Linked DNA regions of Medicago truncatula. The protein of the gene in region 2 binds, or shares a complex with, the protein of the main gene of each other region. Links are inferred from orthologs where the notes say so. Each region holds a gene or a part of one and is shown on either strand. Other genes may lie near its edges.

Region 1 (5,949 bases), on a different chromosome or scaffold from region 2:
CCACAAATCCACCAGATCCTGCTTCGCCAAAATTTATCTCGGCTAAGAAATACGAGCATTTAACATATAGAATAAGAAGATCCAATTACACAAACAGTGAACACACTTTTTCTGATAGCTACAAGCAAATTGAGACAACAAGGTAAGCAAGCTTAATTTTAAAAAAGGGGGTAATCTAGAACCTGTAAATTTCAAACACATATTCTTTAATCTTTCAACATCATAAGGCTACACCTTGAACCAATCAATAGGAAATCATTACTACACTGCACCTCTTTTTTATAATTCACTAGTTCTTAATACCACAAAGCAACCACTAGTTCACTTCAAATATGCGTAGGAGTCCAGTCAAGGATTCAAAATGAAGAACCTTGAAACTACTGAAATACAGATTTTTATTATTGGCAGTTACATAAACATCTTTTGTATTTCAATCAATCACAAGAATCTAGTTTTACCTAATGACAAGTCCAGCTTGTATTGGAAATTCATGTTCGCAGGAAGGTATGACGTACTATTTGGAGTCATATCATATGCACATTAACAAATATTGATGATAGTAATTATTTTGTGCCATGAGGATTATATTTAGATACAATCAACAAACCAGTCAAATGTAACTGCAAATTGTTGAATTAGCTGAAAAACAAAAGTATGAAACTACCTGCTTGTATTCTCACTTGACTATTTCCCCTGAGCATGCATTTTATAGAGATGGGAACCAGCTGCTGAGTACTCGTTATGTTAACTGAAACACCAATTAGCAAACTCTCCAAATATGTTTTTTCTGCTACCTTCACAATATCACGAGGATCAATTCTTCTCATTAGCCTCCAAGAATGGAATCACCCAATCACCTTCTCTTTTAATTTCCCCATCCACTTCATAGACTACAGCATTGCTCTCTTCCTTGGATTCATCACAAGAAGCTAACAATTGTTTGGTTTTTCTGCGTCCTAATAACACAAGCTCCAACATATTCCTACGAACTTCATACACCGGATTAGGCTCAATCAACCCGCCTTTCTCATAGGCCTCCCTAAGAAAAACAGTTTGAGCATTTCCCTTTGTAGATATGTAAAATATCCCCGGATGCCTTAACAGTAGCTCGCGCACATTAACTTCGATATCAAAATCCCTTCGAAAATGAGCCAATTGATCAACCTCAACCATTTTCTCCACAGTCAAGCTCAACAGCTCATGAAGAACAGCAACAGCCCTCTTCTCATACCTCTGAACCCCACCGCACTTAACATTTTTTCTCTCATAAGGCTTCGTATATGATAGCCTTTGCCAACCCTTCAACTTTTCCCTAAACCCTCTCTCAATCTTAAACCCGGTTGGAAAATTAATAGGAAAAGCAAACTTGGTCTCAAATTCACTCAACCATTTCTCTCTATACTCTCTTTCCCTCCATTCCTCAACACGCGCCATTCCCAATTCATCGTCCCAACCAACCAATGCCACAATCTCCAAATCAACCAACCTAAACTCATCACTATATCTCCCAAGAATGGATTCTCTAAAATCACAAGGAAGACCCAATTCTCTTCTAATTAACCTCAAAGCATGCAAATGAAGAGTACCATTCACAGACATCATAAGCAACTTCTTCACCCTTTTAACAACCTCAACCTCATGTTGTCTCACAACAACCTCTTCCAACAAGATCAACTCTTTCATCTTTTTCGTCATTCTACAGCACATGTTTCTCCTAAAAGGATGAACAAACAGATAAAAAACATGAGGGTATTTTTGAAGAAAGGAAGTAACAGTGACATTAAGTCCTGTAATGTTTTTCCAGCGTGACATGAGTTGAAGAGAGACAAAAGAACCACGTTTTCGATTTGATATGAGGTTGCGGGTTTTGAGAACAAGGCTGAGTTTTTTGAAGTGGGTTGTTAATTTGTCAAAGTGGGTGTCTCTTATTCGGTCTTCTAAACGGGTTTGTGCTGAAATGGTGGGTTTTTTCCATCGTTTTTGGTTGAAGAGGAAAAAAGGTGAGAATGATGAGATTGTGGTGGTTGCTTGGAAGATTCTGTATCTGAAGGTTGATAATGGATTCATGTCATTGATGTGTTGCAGGTTTAGAAGGGAAAGGTTTGTGATAGAGAGAGACGAGAATGAAAGGAAGATCGATTAGAGGGGTGCGAAAAGGAGAAGGGCGCGGTGGGATAACAGAAGAAGGGGTTTATGCACGTACTAGAATTTAACGTGTAAAACTTTTTTACACACACATTTGATACCTTTTCTGACTAGTTTTTAATTTAAGATATCTTAAGAAGTATTTAGTTGATTAGTTACAAATCCTAAGTCTTAACTCAAATGTGGTCAGATTTCAAACTCAAGTGCATTCATTTGTGTGTATTGTTATTTTTTTCATTTTGTTCTACTAAAAAAATGTACTAGATTTGAGATTTATTATGAAGAAGCGTATTTAGAGCTATAAGAATTGTGAGGTGAGAGACTCGCGTAATTTGTGTGTTTGATTTCATAATATTTTTAAGTTTACATTTGAGTTTTAAGAGAGAACATATTCTTTTAGTTTATAAAAGTTAGTTTTATCTCATGATTTACTTGTGTTTTAAGGTTAGGTTGTGGTGGTTTGATTCGAGATAGTGATGGTAACTGAATTTGTGGATTTGCGAAACTCGTTGGTGCATATAATGCGTTTGCTGCAGAATTACAAGGGTGTTTGAAGGTCTAAAAATTGCTCATAACAGAGGATTTGAAGTTGTGGAACTTTGTGGTGATTTGGAAGCGTTGGCGAAGAGTTTGAAGAGTGTAGTGTGATGGAGTTTGACTATTAAAATTTGGAAGCTTTTAGAATTAGAGTTCGAGGTTAAAGTTTGCCACTCATATTGAGCTACTAAAGAGAGGAAACACGAGATAGGGAGAGTCGGAGGTGAGTTTTTTCCAATTGTTTTTTTCTTTTTTGCATGGTAGACCTCTATTTTGGGGTTTTAGTATGATTCAACCATAGGAATAGGATTTGTTCTTTTCTTTGATTTATACAAACTTTAGTAGCTCTGTATTTTCAAAATGTGCATGTGTTATATAGTGTATTATTAGGCTTATAAGGTTAAGTATATAACGAATTAGTGTTAATCTATATGTTGATCATGACGTGAGATTAAGTCGTGACATGAAGATCAAATATTCTACTTGTAGTTGGTTAACAAAAACATACATTGATACGTATCAAGATTGTTTTTATCGAAAAAAAAATAAAGATTTAGTTTATACACATTCACATTGTAAAGAGTATTTACTTAAATTGAAGAATTTAGTTTTGAGATACCCACGACGTAATTTTTTCTTACATGTGAAATCAATCAAATATTGTCAAATAAATACATGTTTTTAGTAGAACAAAGTGAAAAAATAACAATTGAAACTCGCACACAAATGAATGCACCTGATATTCTCCACCAAATTCAACAAAGATTTATACCCTTTAGTATTAATAGAAGTATAAGACTAATCATCAAATCGGATGTAGAACTATTTTTTAAATAAACAACTCTCGAAATGATTCATTTTCTTGTAGGAGGGTAAAAACGGAAATGCTTAATAGTACGAAATCAGTTAAACGGAAAACAACGAATGCACTTACTGTGAATTTGTTATTACATTTTGGTTTTAGTTCCTGTAAAAATATTTTGGTTTTAGTCCCTATAAAAATATTTTTTTTGATTTTAGTCCCTCCAAATATAAAAAATTTGGTTTCGGTCCTTGGTATTTTGTTTTAGTCCTTGTAAAATTGATTCATATTGGATTTGGTCATTGTAATATGTAGAATATTTGATTTTAGTCCCTCAAAATGAGGACTAAAATGAATATTATAGAGACCAATTTCAATATGAAATGATTTTACAACGATTAAAACAAAATACCAAAGACAAAAACCAAATATTCTATATTTGCAGAGACTAAAACCAAAAAAATATTTTTATAAGAGCTAAAACCAAAACGGCAGATATTTGCAGGAACCATTTTCATATTTAAGCCTTACATTTTTATCCTCAATCCATTTCTATATGACCACTTTACCCTTACCCTTGAATAGTTAGTGTTTTTTGAGTTTCGTCAAATCCAGTGAATAATTATCCCGTAGTGCATAGCAATGCTCGGGTAAAAAACTCTTCCAAAAACATGTTGATTGTTGATAATCTATCAATGTTCAAGTAAATAGTCAATTACCCCCTGAAATTGTAAGTTTCATCAATTATCCCCCTAAAATTAACAAAATGTCAATTACCCCCCTGAAATTGCACAACGTTAATCAATTTACCCTCTTCGTCAAATTTTTTCGTTAGTAAACATGACGTTTTGCAAATACTCCCCTGGAGTTTTACACTTATGTGCAAAATTTTATGTTCACTGACAGAAGAATTTGACGGAGGGGGTAAATTGATTAACGTTGTGCAATTTCAGGAGGGTAATTGATATTTTATTAATTTTAAGGGGATAATTGACGAAACTTACAATTTCAGAAAGATAATTGACTATTTACTCGTCATGTTCAAACCCATATTTTATCATTCAAAAACAAAACCCCTAATATTTAACCGTGATATAAAGTGGTAACAAAAAAGTTAATAAACTCAAAAAGTGGTGTGTCACACATGTTGTGCCTTCTTATCCATAAATCAATTCTCATCTTTCTCAAATTCTTCAATTGAACAAAAAAAAAAAACACAACACCATGGCACTTCTATGCTCCAATCTCTTCACGCTGACACCTCTTTCTTCTTCCTCCATTTTCCCAATTCCCACCACAACCCCAAGTAAGTACCATCACTTCTTCTTCCTTAATTTCTCCAAAATACATTCTCATGTTTTTATTATTCTTGTTGTTTCTTTTATCTTAGTTTTCTCGAACTATGTTTTTGTTTATCAGTTTCAAGAGTGCACGTTGGTTTACCCACAAACTCATTGAAGGGGCTTCAAATCTCGACACCCTTTGTCGTGAAACCAAGGAAAAATGCAATTTCTATTGTATCTGCAACTGCTGAATCCAATGTTGCAGATGGGTCTGAAAGTGAAAGCAAGAAAGAGAGTGATGCTGTTTCTGTAGATAAGCTTCCTTTGGAATCAAAATTGAAGGAGAGGGAGGAGAAGAGGTTGAAGATGAAGCTTGATAAGAAGATAAGGTTGAGGAGAAAGAGACTTGTTCAAAAGAGGAAGTTGAGGAAGAAGGGTAATTGGCCACCTTCCAAGATGAAGAAATTGAAGAGTGTTTGAAGATTATATCTGTTTGCAGGTTTAATCCTGATTTCTTCTTATTGTACCTCTGATTCTTTCCCTTATTCTCAACAATTTAGTTTTTTATTTTTTGTTATTTTCTTAATCATTCTACAATGTATCATGTATGTATTTTGACAATTTTTGTTCATTTTCAATCAAGGGTTTTAGTTTATATGTAGATGCCTTACATTTGGTTAATATTTAAATATGGTTTGATTTGGAATCAATGATATGATTCATGTGTTTGGATATTTTTACTTAGTCCCATTTTGGTTAATATTGAAAGATGAGTGTTATTTGGTACGATGAGCTTAGCGACGAAAACCAACAAATGAATAGGTGCAAAGAGTGGAGCAAATATAACTCTGTATTTGGGTGAATTAGCTGGTCAACACTTTTCGTTGGTTATCGTCGGTGCATTGCTCGTAACCATGAGTGTTTCTCATTGAAATAGGAGTTTAATTTGGAATCTATATAGTTTAGCACCGACACTTCTCATTATAGGTGTGTCCGGTGTTCAACACGTGTGTCCGTGTCCGATACATATGGTTATATTCAATTATTCATTTTTTCAAATTATTTGTGTCGTGTCAACTGTAAATGTCTCTTCCTAGTACATTTCTAATTCATCAAACAAGAACAATCAAATCTTTCTCCGAGTTTTCTCAGATTTTTCATCTTTTCTCCTATGGATTTCTA
Region 2 (7,256 bases):
TGTAATTCAGAGTGACGATGTGCAAGTTAGAGACAACCTTACGGTAGAAACTTTACCGTTAAGGATTGATGATCGTAAAGTGAAGACGTTGAGGGGCAAAGAGATACCTCTCGTGAGAGTCGTTTGGTCGGGAGCGACTGGTGAAAGCTTGACGTGGGAGCTTGAGAGTAAGATGCTGGAGTCGTATCCAGAGTTGTTTACTTGAGGTAAATTTTCGAGGACGAAAATCTTTTAAGTGGGGGAGAGTTGTAACGCCCACTTTCGTTTAATCGTTATTTAATCGAGTTTAGGCAATTATATTATAATTATATAATATATGCATGATTTTGATATGTTTTGATGATATGATGACGATTGGTACCACATGCATATAAGAAGTCTAAGAGCATTGTCACATTGTCATGATTAAGATGCCTTGTTGATGATGATTGATTATGTGATTACGTGATATGTGTTTATTGATTATGTTATGTTATTCCTAATGATTGGATATATGATTAAGTGATAACTGTTTAGCAATTATGCAAAGTTAGAAATAGAATGAATATGATGTTAATTTATGATTCTCAATTACATTGATTAATGTTATTGTATTATGAAATCTCACCCCTTCTGCTTGAAAATGTTGCCCTTCGTATGGGTAACTTGCAGGTGATCGTGCTTAGTGTGCAGTTGCCGTCGTGAGTGGCCTTGCCTTCACTGTGTCGTCTAGGTCGCTCTGATACGTAACGGGATGGGGTTATATGCTATAACATGGTTCATTCTCTTACGTGGATAATATGTTATTTTTATTAAGTTATGGAATATGAACTATTTTGATGGGGCCTACGTGCCAAACTGATTTATGATTTTTGAATTTAATATTCCGCTGCTATGTTAAAGATATTGTGAAGGTTAAATTATTATTTAACTGTTTTTGGATTACGTTTCTATGTGATATCCCGTTTGTGGTTTTTACTCTGATAAATGTTTATGAAATTTGTATATTGGGAAAACGGGGTGTTACAATATAGACTTGTCTTAGTCTAGGTCTTTTGTTTTGGATTATTGATATGATTGGAGATTTACCCGTATGTTGGGATTTGAGATTCATCCATGTTGATGTAATAATTGATTCATGACACGTATATTTGATGTACTCTGGTTTATATTCCGTTGCGATTGTTGAGATTTATATACATGTTTATTGGTTTTGAATTTTTGAATGATGACGTAGCCTCTATTTCTTGTAATTGTATTATTCTCATGTTTAATTGCTTTAATAGAAATATGAGTGTTACAAGCTTTACATAGATCTATAGAGCTACAGATTTCTACGAATTTCTGGCAACCTAGTGGCTACTAGGGGTGTAGTAAACTCAACCATCATGTTAAGTCCCTGAAGACTACCGATCATATTATAATCACATAATCTTAACATGCATCGTTGCTAGGTTAGGTCATCAACATTTTCCACTAAAGTATTATTCTACTGAGCCTTTGGCTTATGACAAGAGTCCTAGTTAGATCTTGACGTTTAAAGCCTTTTCCAAGTTCTAGTACTCATGCAAAGTAGTTTATCTTGATCCCTTAATCTCTCGATGCATAGGGACAAAATCATATCAAACAAACTTGTTCCATTCCAATAACCTCTTGGTTTCAGGGAACTATAACATTAAAAACAAAAGTAATCAAGTCTTGTTTTCAAAGATTTTGAATAAAAACAATTTGTTTGAAAAAAGCACGGAGCTATAGCTTTATAAATCTGAGAGTTGTCTAGTTCGAGTTAGGGCTGGCAATGAACCGAACCAACTCGATTATAGTTCGACATTCGACTCGATATCTAATCCTTTGAACTTGGTTCATGAACCTAACGAGCTGGACTTGAGCTGAAAATTAAGTTCGTTAATTAAATGAGCTGAACTTGAGCTACATATAATTCGACTCGTTAGGTTCATGAGATGGCTCGATTATTGATTATATATATAAATCAATTTGAGTTAGTTTTTAAAATTTTTTAATTCAAATGTGGCAAATGTGGCTGAATACAATTTTGTCTTGAAGGGAAGAGCAGTTGGAGTTTAAAAGTAAAAGAATATTATGAATTTTGTTCACAACTAATTAAATTTTGTTGGATTTTTTTGTCTCTGTTACTTGTATCAGATATTTTTCTTCGTATTTATGCAATCTTTAACTTTATATAATTTATGTCTATTATATGCATGTTTGTGGGAACTTTTATTTGAATTCAATATTTTATATATATATATATATATATATATATATATATATATATATATATATAAAATATCAAAGATCTATAAATTAATTTTTTTTTTTTATAATTTTTTTTGGACTAGTTGAGCAACCGAACTGAACCTAATGAGCCGAACCGAACTGTTCGTGAACTTTAAACGAGCCGAACTCGAGCTGAAAAAATAGTTCGTGTCGAACTCGAACCGAGTTTTGAGCCGAACCAATTCTTATCGAGTCGAGCCGAGCTCAAACAGATTCGGTTCGACTCGACTCATTTCCAGCCCTAGTTCGAGTGGAGTTTCATGGTTTCAAGGTTATTTTTCTGTTGTTATGATTTCATGACATTTTATCGAATCCTTTACCAAAATTGACTAAATTCATTCAAACTACCTAATTTAACTAAAATGACTCCAAGAATAGACTAAAAACGCTTTGTGATTTCTTGCCATCAAGTTAACATTGAAGGATATGGTGCTTTAACACACAAACGATGATTGCAATAGCAACTTCGATAACAACAACAAGAACATCTTTCAACATGATTATTTTCAATTTATAAGACAAGAGATATATATGTTATATGGATACATATTCTAAAGTCCAAGTATCTATTGTATCTCTTTGTCCTTGACATGATATCTCTGTGAAAAGCTCTGAAAGAATCATTTCTTTGTACTTTGAAGATCTTAATAGCTTCCGAGTCAAATAAAATATGGCCACATGATCTTCAATAATTGATCAATTAATGATGTATGCATGAACGAAGTGGACCATGCAGATGATCATTAGGACCCATCGATGTCTTGGAGTGCTCTGCACATATAATGAGTTTTGGTAATAATATGTTAACCAAAATAGTTGCTTGATTTCTTAAAATCTTAATCAACTTGTCTTGTGCTTGATGACCATTTGTCATTACCTTAAAGATAGTTGCACGTCTTTAATTTCTCTTATAATATCATGCATGATCATAGACATAGGTATATGACAAAGTGTTCCTTTATTATTAGTCTTGTTAGTGTCAAAACATAATACAAAGATGTTGTTATTTGAATATAAACGGTTCTATCACATTTTTCTTCCGATAGGATTCTGCTAGATTAGCAAAGTGAGGTTTTTAGAGTGTCAGACGAAACCTCTTTTTCTCTTAGCGAATTGCCAACTTATCCAAGTAGATTTAAACTGCCATAGTTTTATAGGCGACGTACTTCATTTGCGGGGATTTTTTCCCGGGATTCAAGACTTGAGTCTCTAACCGGAAGATTTTCCTTTGATCTTTCTGTTTTGGCCCCTTAACAAAATAAAATATAATCTAACTCTCCAAGTACTGTCCCTTTTGCAGTTTTGATCCCAGTCCAATTTTATCCAAGTCAATGCTGACGTGGACGCCACCGTATGTAATTTTTATTTTTTATTTATTTTTTAAAATATTTTTTATTTAAAAAAATAAAAAAACAATATTTTTTTTAACTTCCAAATTAAACCAAATTTATTTTGAGAATCATTAATACAATTGAAAAAAAAATAATCGAATATTAAAACTTTTAAAAAACCATAATCGATCCAAATAGTTAAATTGATCTGATCCATTAAACCGAACCGAATCACACTAACTGAACCAAATCATTTCAGTTTTTGATTGTTATTAACGATTAGGTTTTTTTTGGTTCAGTTCGGTTCAAAGTTTTGTTTTCACCCAAAATAAAAAAAGGAAAATGTTACATAGACACCCTTTATTTCCATACACCTTTGTACACCTTATATTCTAGGAAGAGAGAAGAGGAGAGGAAAGAGAAAATACCTTTATACACCTTATATTCTAGGAAGAGAGAAGAGGAAAGAGAAAATGTGCTTGTGCGGGGTCCATGTGACCACATGTCAGATTTTTGTGTGGATGTCGAGGGATGTATTGCAACCTATGTCTATGAATCATAACTCATAAAAAAATACAGAAGTATCAAAATCCGACAGTGTAACCAACCAATAAAAATCCAACAAACAGTAGTTACCGTTTTACCACCATCATACACACACACACACACAGTATAACCGAAGTAGATAACAGGATAAGGAACATTTTTGCAAACATTCGCAAAAAGCAAAGCCTTGTGGCTTGTAACAATGGCTTCTTCAGTTACCTCTTCGTTTCAACTAAGGTTCAAACAAACACCCTTAATTTCACTATTTCTCTTTCTCTTTCTCTTCTTTACTCTACTTGTTCAAATCTCATTCTTCATTCTCTTCAATTTGAACCATTTTAATCATATAAATAAGTTTCATTTCAAGTTTTTGTTCAATAATTGTTATATGGTGTTTAATTATTGAATGCAATGAAATAAAAAGTACCCTTTTTCTTAAAACACTTAAAGTTTTAAACTTTGAGAAAACCCAATATTTTTTAACTTTATAACTGTTTCAATTTGTGAATGTGGTTTTATTTTTCTGTATTCTTTCTTCAATTCTCAATTGGGTCAAAAGGGTTATAATTATTTGTCGTGTATGTTAAATTTGGTTGTAATGAATCATGATGATGTAGTTGAGGATGATAGTGTTGTAAATGTTTGACGAAATTCAATTAAATGGATGTTGCATTTAAGATGTTTGATGAAATGCTTGTTAGTAGTATAATTTTGTATTTCAGGAATAAATTACTTTGTATTTGTTTTTCACATAGTTAGTGAGGTGATTGTTAGCTTACAGAAAAGATAATTTCATCGAGTGTACTTTCTTGCTATGAAGCACAAATACTAATCGGATTAGACGTGTCCCGGTGTTGGATACGTATTGTGTCCGACACCAACACGACACCGACACATTATTACGTTGAATTATTTCATTTTCTTAAATTATTATCGATGTCCGTGTCTGAGTCTGTGTTTCATGGCTTTCTTAGTAGTAAAACAGGTAATTCTGGATAAAATTATTGTCGTGATTTTGGCAAAAGCTACATTTTGGAACTTCAACAAAATCATGTTGCGGCTGTGATTTCGTTAAGTTCAATGTGATACCAAACATGCTATATCAAAGAAAAGAACAATTGTTTTGGGAAATTGTTGTTTTGTTTGCTTTATTGGTTTCCTTTGCACAAAGATCTTCATGTGAGGCTTTTATTATGTTATAGTAGGATATTGAACATCATTTATCAAAATTGCATTTTTTAATGTTGACCTAAATCACTACGAACTGGAAAGTGGCTTCTAATTGAAGGATAAGATCTAGTTTACCAGGCCCTGTATCTGTTTTAGTCACTCATGAATTTTGGTTTTCTTAATCATTCTTTTATAATTTCTTAGTTACTTGAAAAATTGTTAGTTTCAAAGTAAATATTTTATAAATTCAAGCAGTCTCTCACTAATCATTTGCTTTCCTATTTCAGCAATTTTAAGTCATCTTTTGTTGGCGAGAGAAGTAGGATCAGAATTTCAAGTGCTCCTGCTACTCATGTTGGGTTCTTTAGAAAGACTACCGAATGTAAGGAATCACGTATTGGGAAACAACCAATTCCCGTTCCATCCAATGTAACCATCAAAATGGAAGGGCAATATTTCCATGCGAAAGGTCCTTTGGGAGAACTTTCATTAACTTATCCTCGAGAAGTTAAGGTTGAGAGGCAAGAAGAAGGGGTTTTAAAGGTCAGTAAGGCAGTTGAAACTAGAAGGGCGAATCAAATGCACGGGCTTTTCAGGTACTTCATTTTACTTAACTTTTTTAATTGTTTCATGATGTAGAAAAATAGATGTTGCCAATGAGGATTCACATTCTCTGCTGTAAAAAATATCAGTCAGGCAGTCAAACAAATCGTTTGAGTACATGTCGGAGATGAATAGTGGGTTTTCAGTCACTACGCTGTGGTTTGGGTTCAGAGTGAAAACATTGAAAAAGTTCAATCCGACTTAGGCTCAAACGGCTAATTTTAACTTGAGAGCATGAATGCAGGATTTCTCTGACTGCAGAGAATCAAAATCCTTGCCAATAATCATAGCATAACGATAGTTGTAAATTTATAACATTTGATTCATTCATTGGTGTTGCCTTTTCGAGTCGTGACAATGAAAACATTCAAGATATATGTTGTAGTTAGTATTTTGACAACAGTTGTATACTTAACACTGGAAGAAGTGATGCAGAATGGATGACCTTGTTAAGTTATTTTAAATTATGATAATTTATGGGTTTTTATGATAATTGTTATTGAGGGAAGTTTAGATGTTGACTCTATCTTTTACTAGACTTCCACCCGTGTTGCCGCACGGGTCATATACATTGGAAAAAATAATATTAAAATGCAATTTATCAACTACTTATGCAACTACATTAGTAGCCGTATTTATGCAATCACCGTACAATTTTTAACATTCTAGGCATATAGACTTTCTCCCCAATGTTGCTTCCTGATATTACCTTTCTTTCAAGAATATATCTACCCAAATTTGTAATTATCAACCGAGTACCATTACATAGGCTTGCAGTAAAGTCCAAATATCAACTCTCAATTTTAATTTGTGATCCGGAAGACTAAAAGAATTGTGTTAAAAAATTTAGACGATGAACATCATCGGCCTATTGACCATTGAGGTGTGAGCAAAGAGAATCGCAGCTTAAAAAATGGTTAATCAAACATAGAAACAACTCCAATGGAGCTACACTTGTATACTAACGTACATTAAAGTAACTTTAAAATACATGACACATACACTATTGCCATACTATATAACTCAAGAGAGGCTAAAAATCTATTTTGGTATGAGCTTTCTTATACTAAAATAAAAGCATCTCATTAGAATTTGTATTTGATTAGGATTATAGATACCACTTTGGCTACCTATGTTTTCCAGATTTGATATTGATTGAAACAAAATGCTGTCTCTGGAATGCCAAGTATTTAATGCTTGGGATTCTAGCGAATTCTTCTTATTGGAATTCTTGCTGCACGTGTTATTTTCCTAGCCTTTTCTACAAGTAGTTATTTTGAAGTTTTTCAGAAGGAGAAAGAAATGGAAGTAACTAATTGTATTGGTAGG

Evidence for each region. The genes of interacting proteins can lie anywhere in the genome.
Region 1: 50S ribosomal protein L6, chloroplastic (region 2) and 50S ribosomal protein 5, chloroplastic share a complex: the UniProt entries of both Arabidopsis thaliana proteins name them as parts of the 50S ribosomal subunit. The link is inferred for Medicago truncatula from reciprocal best matches to the Arabidopsis thaliana genes emb2394 and PSRP5.

What each region holds. Positions count from the first base shown.
Region 1 is NC_053048.1:41,272,796-41,278,744, reverse strand, and holds 50S ribosomal protein 5, chloroplastic, read left to right. Parts: upstream 1-4,624; 5' UTR 4,625-4,708; coding exon 4,709-4,790; intron 4,791-4,903; coding exon 4,904-5,247; 3' UTR 5,248-5,448; downstream 5,449-5,949. Other genes in the region: protein ROOT PRIMORDIUM DEFECTIVE 1, read right to left, coding at 814-2,067.
Region 2 is NC_053047.1:21,810,690-21,817,945, forward strand, and holds the start of 50S ribosomal protein L6, chloroplastic, read left to right. Parts: upstream 1-4,226; 5' UTR 4,227-4,356; coding exon 4,357-4,391; intron 4,392-5,611; coding exon 5,612-5,920; intron 5,921-7,256. UniProt on the Arabidopsis thaliana protein: This protein binds directly to 23S ribosomal RNA and is located at the aminoacyl-tRNA binding site of the peptidyltransferase center.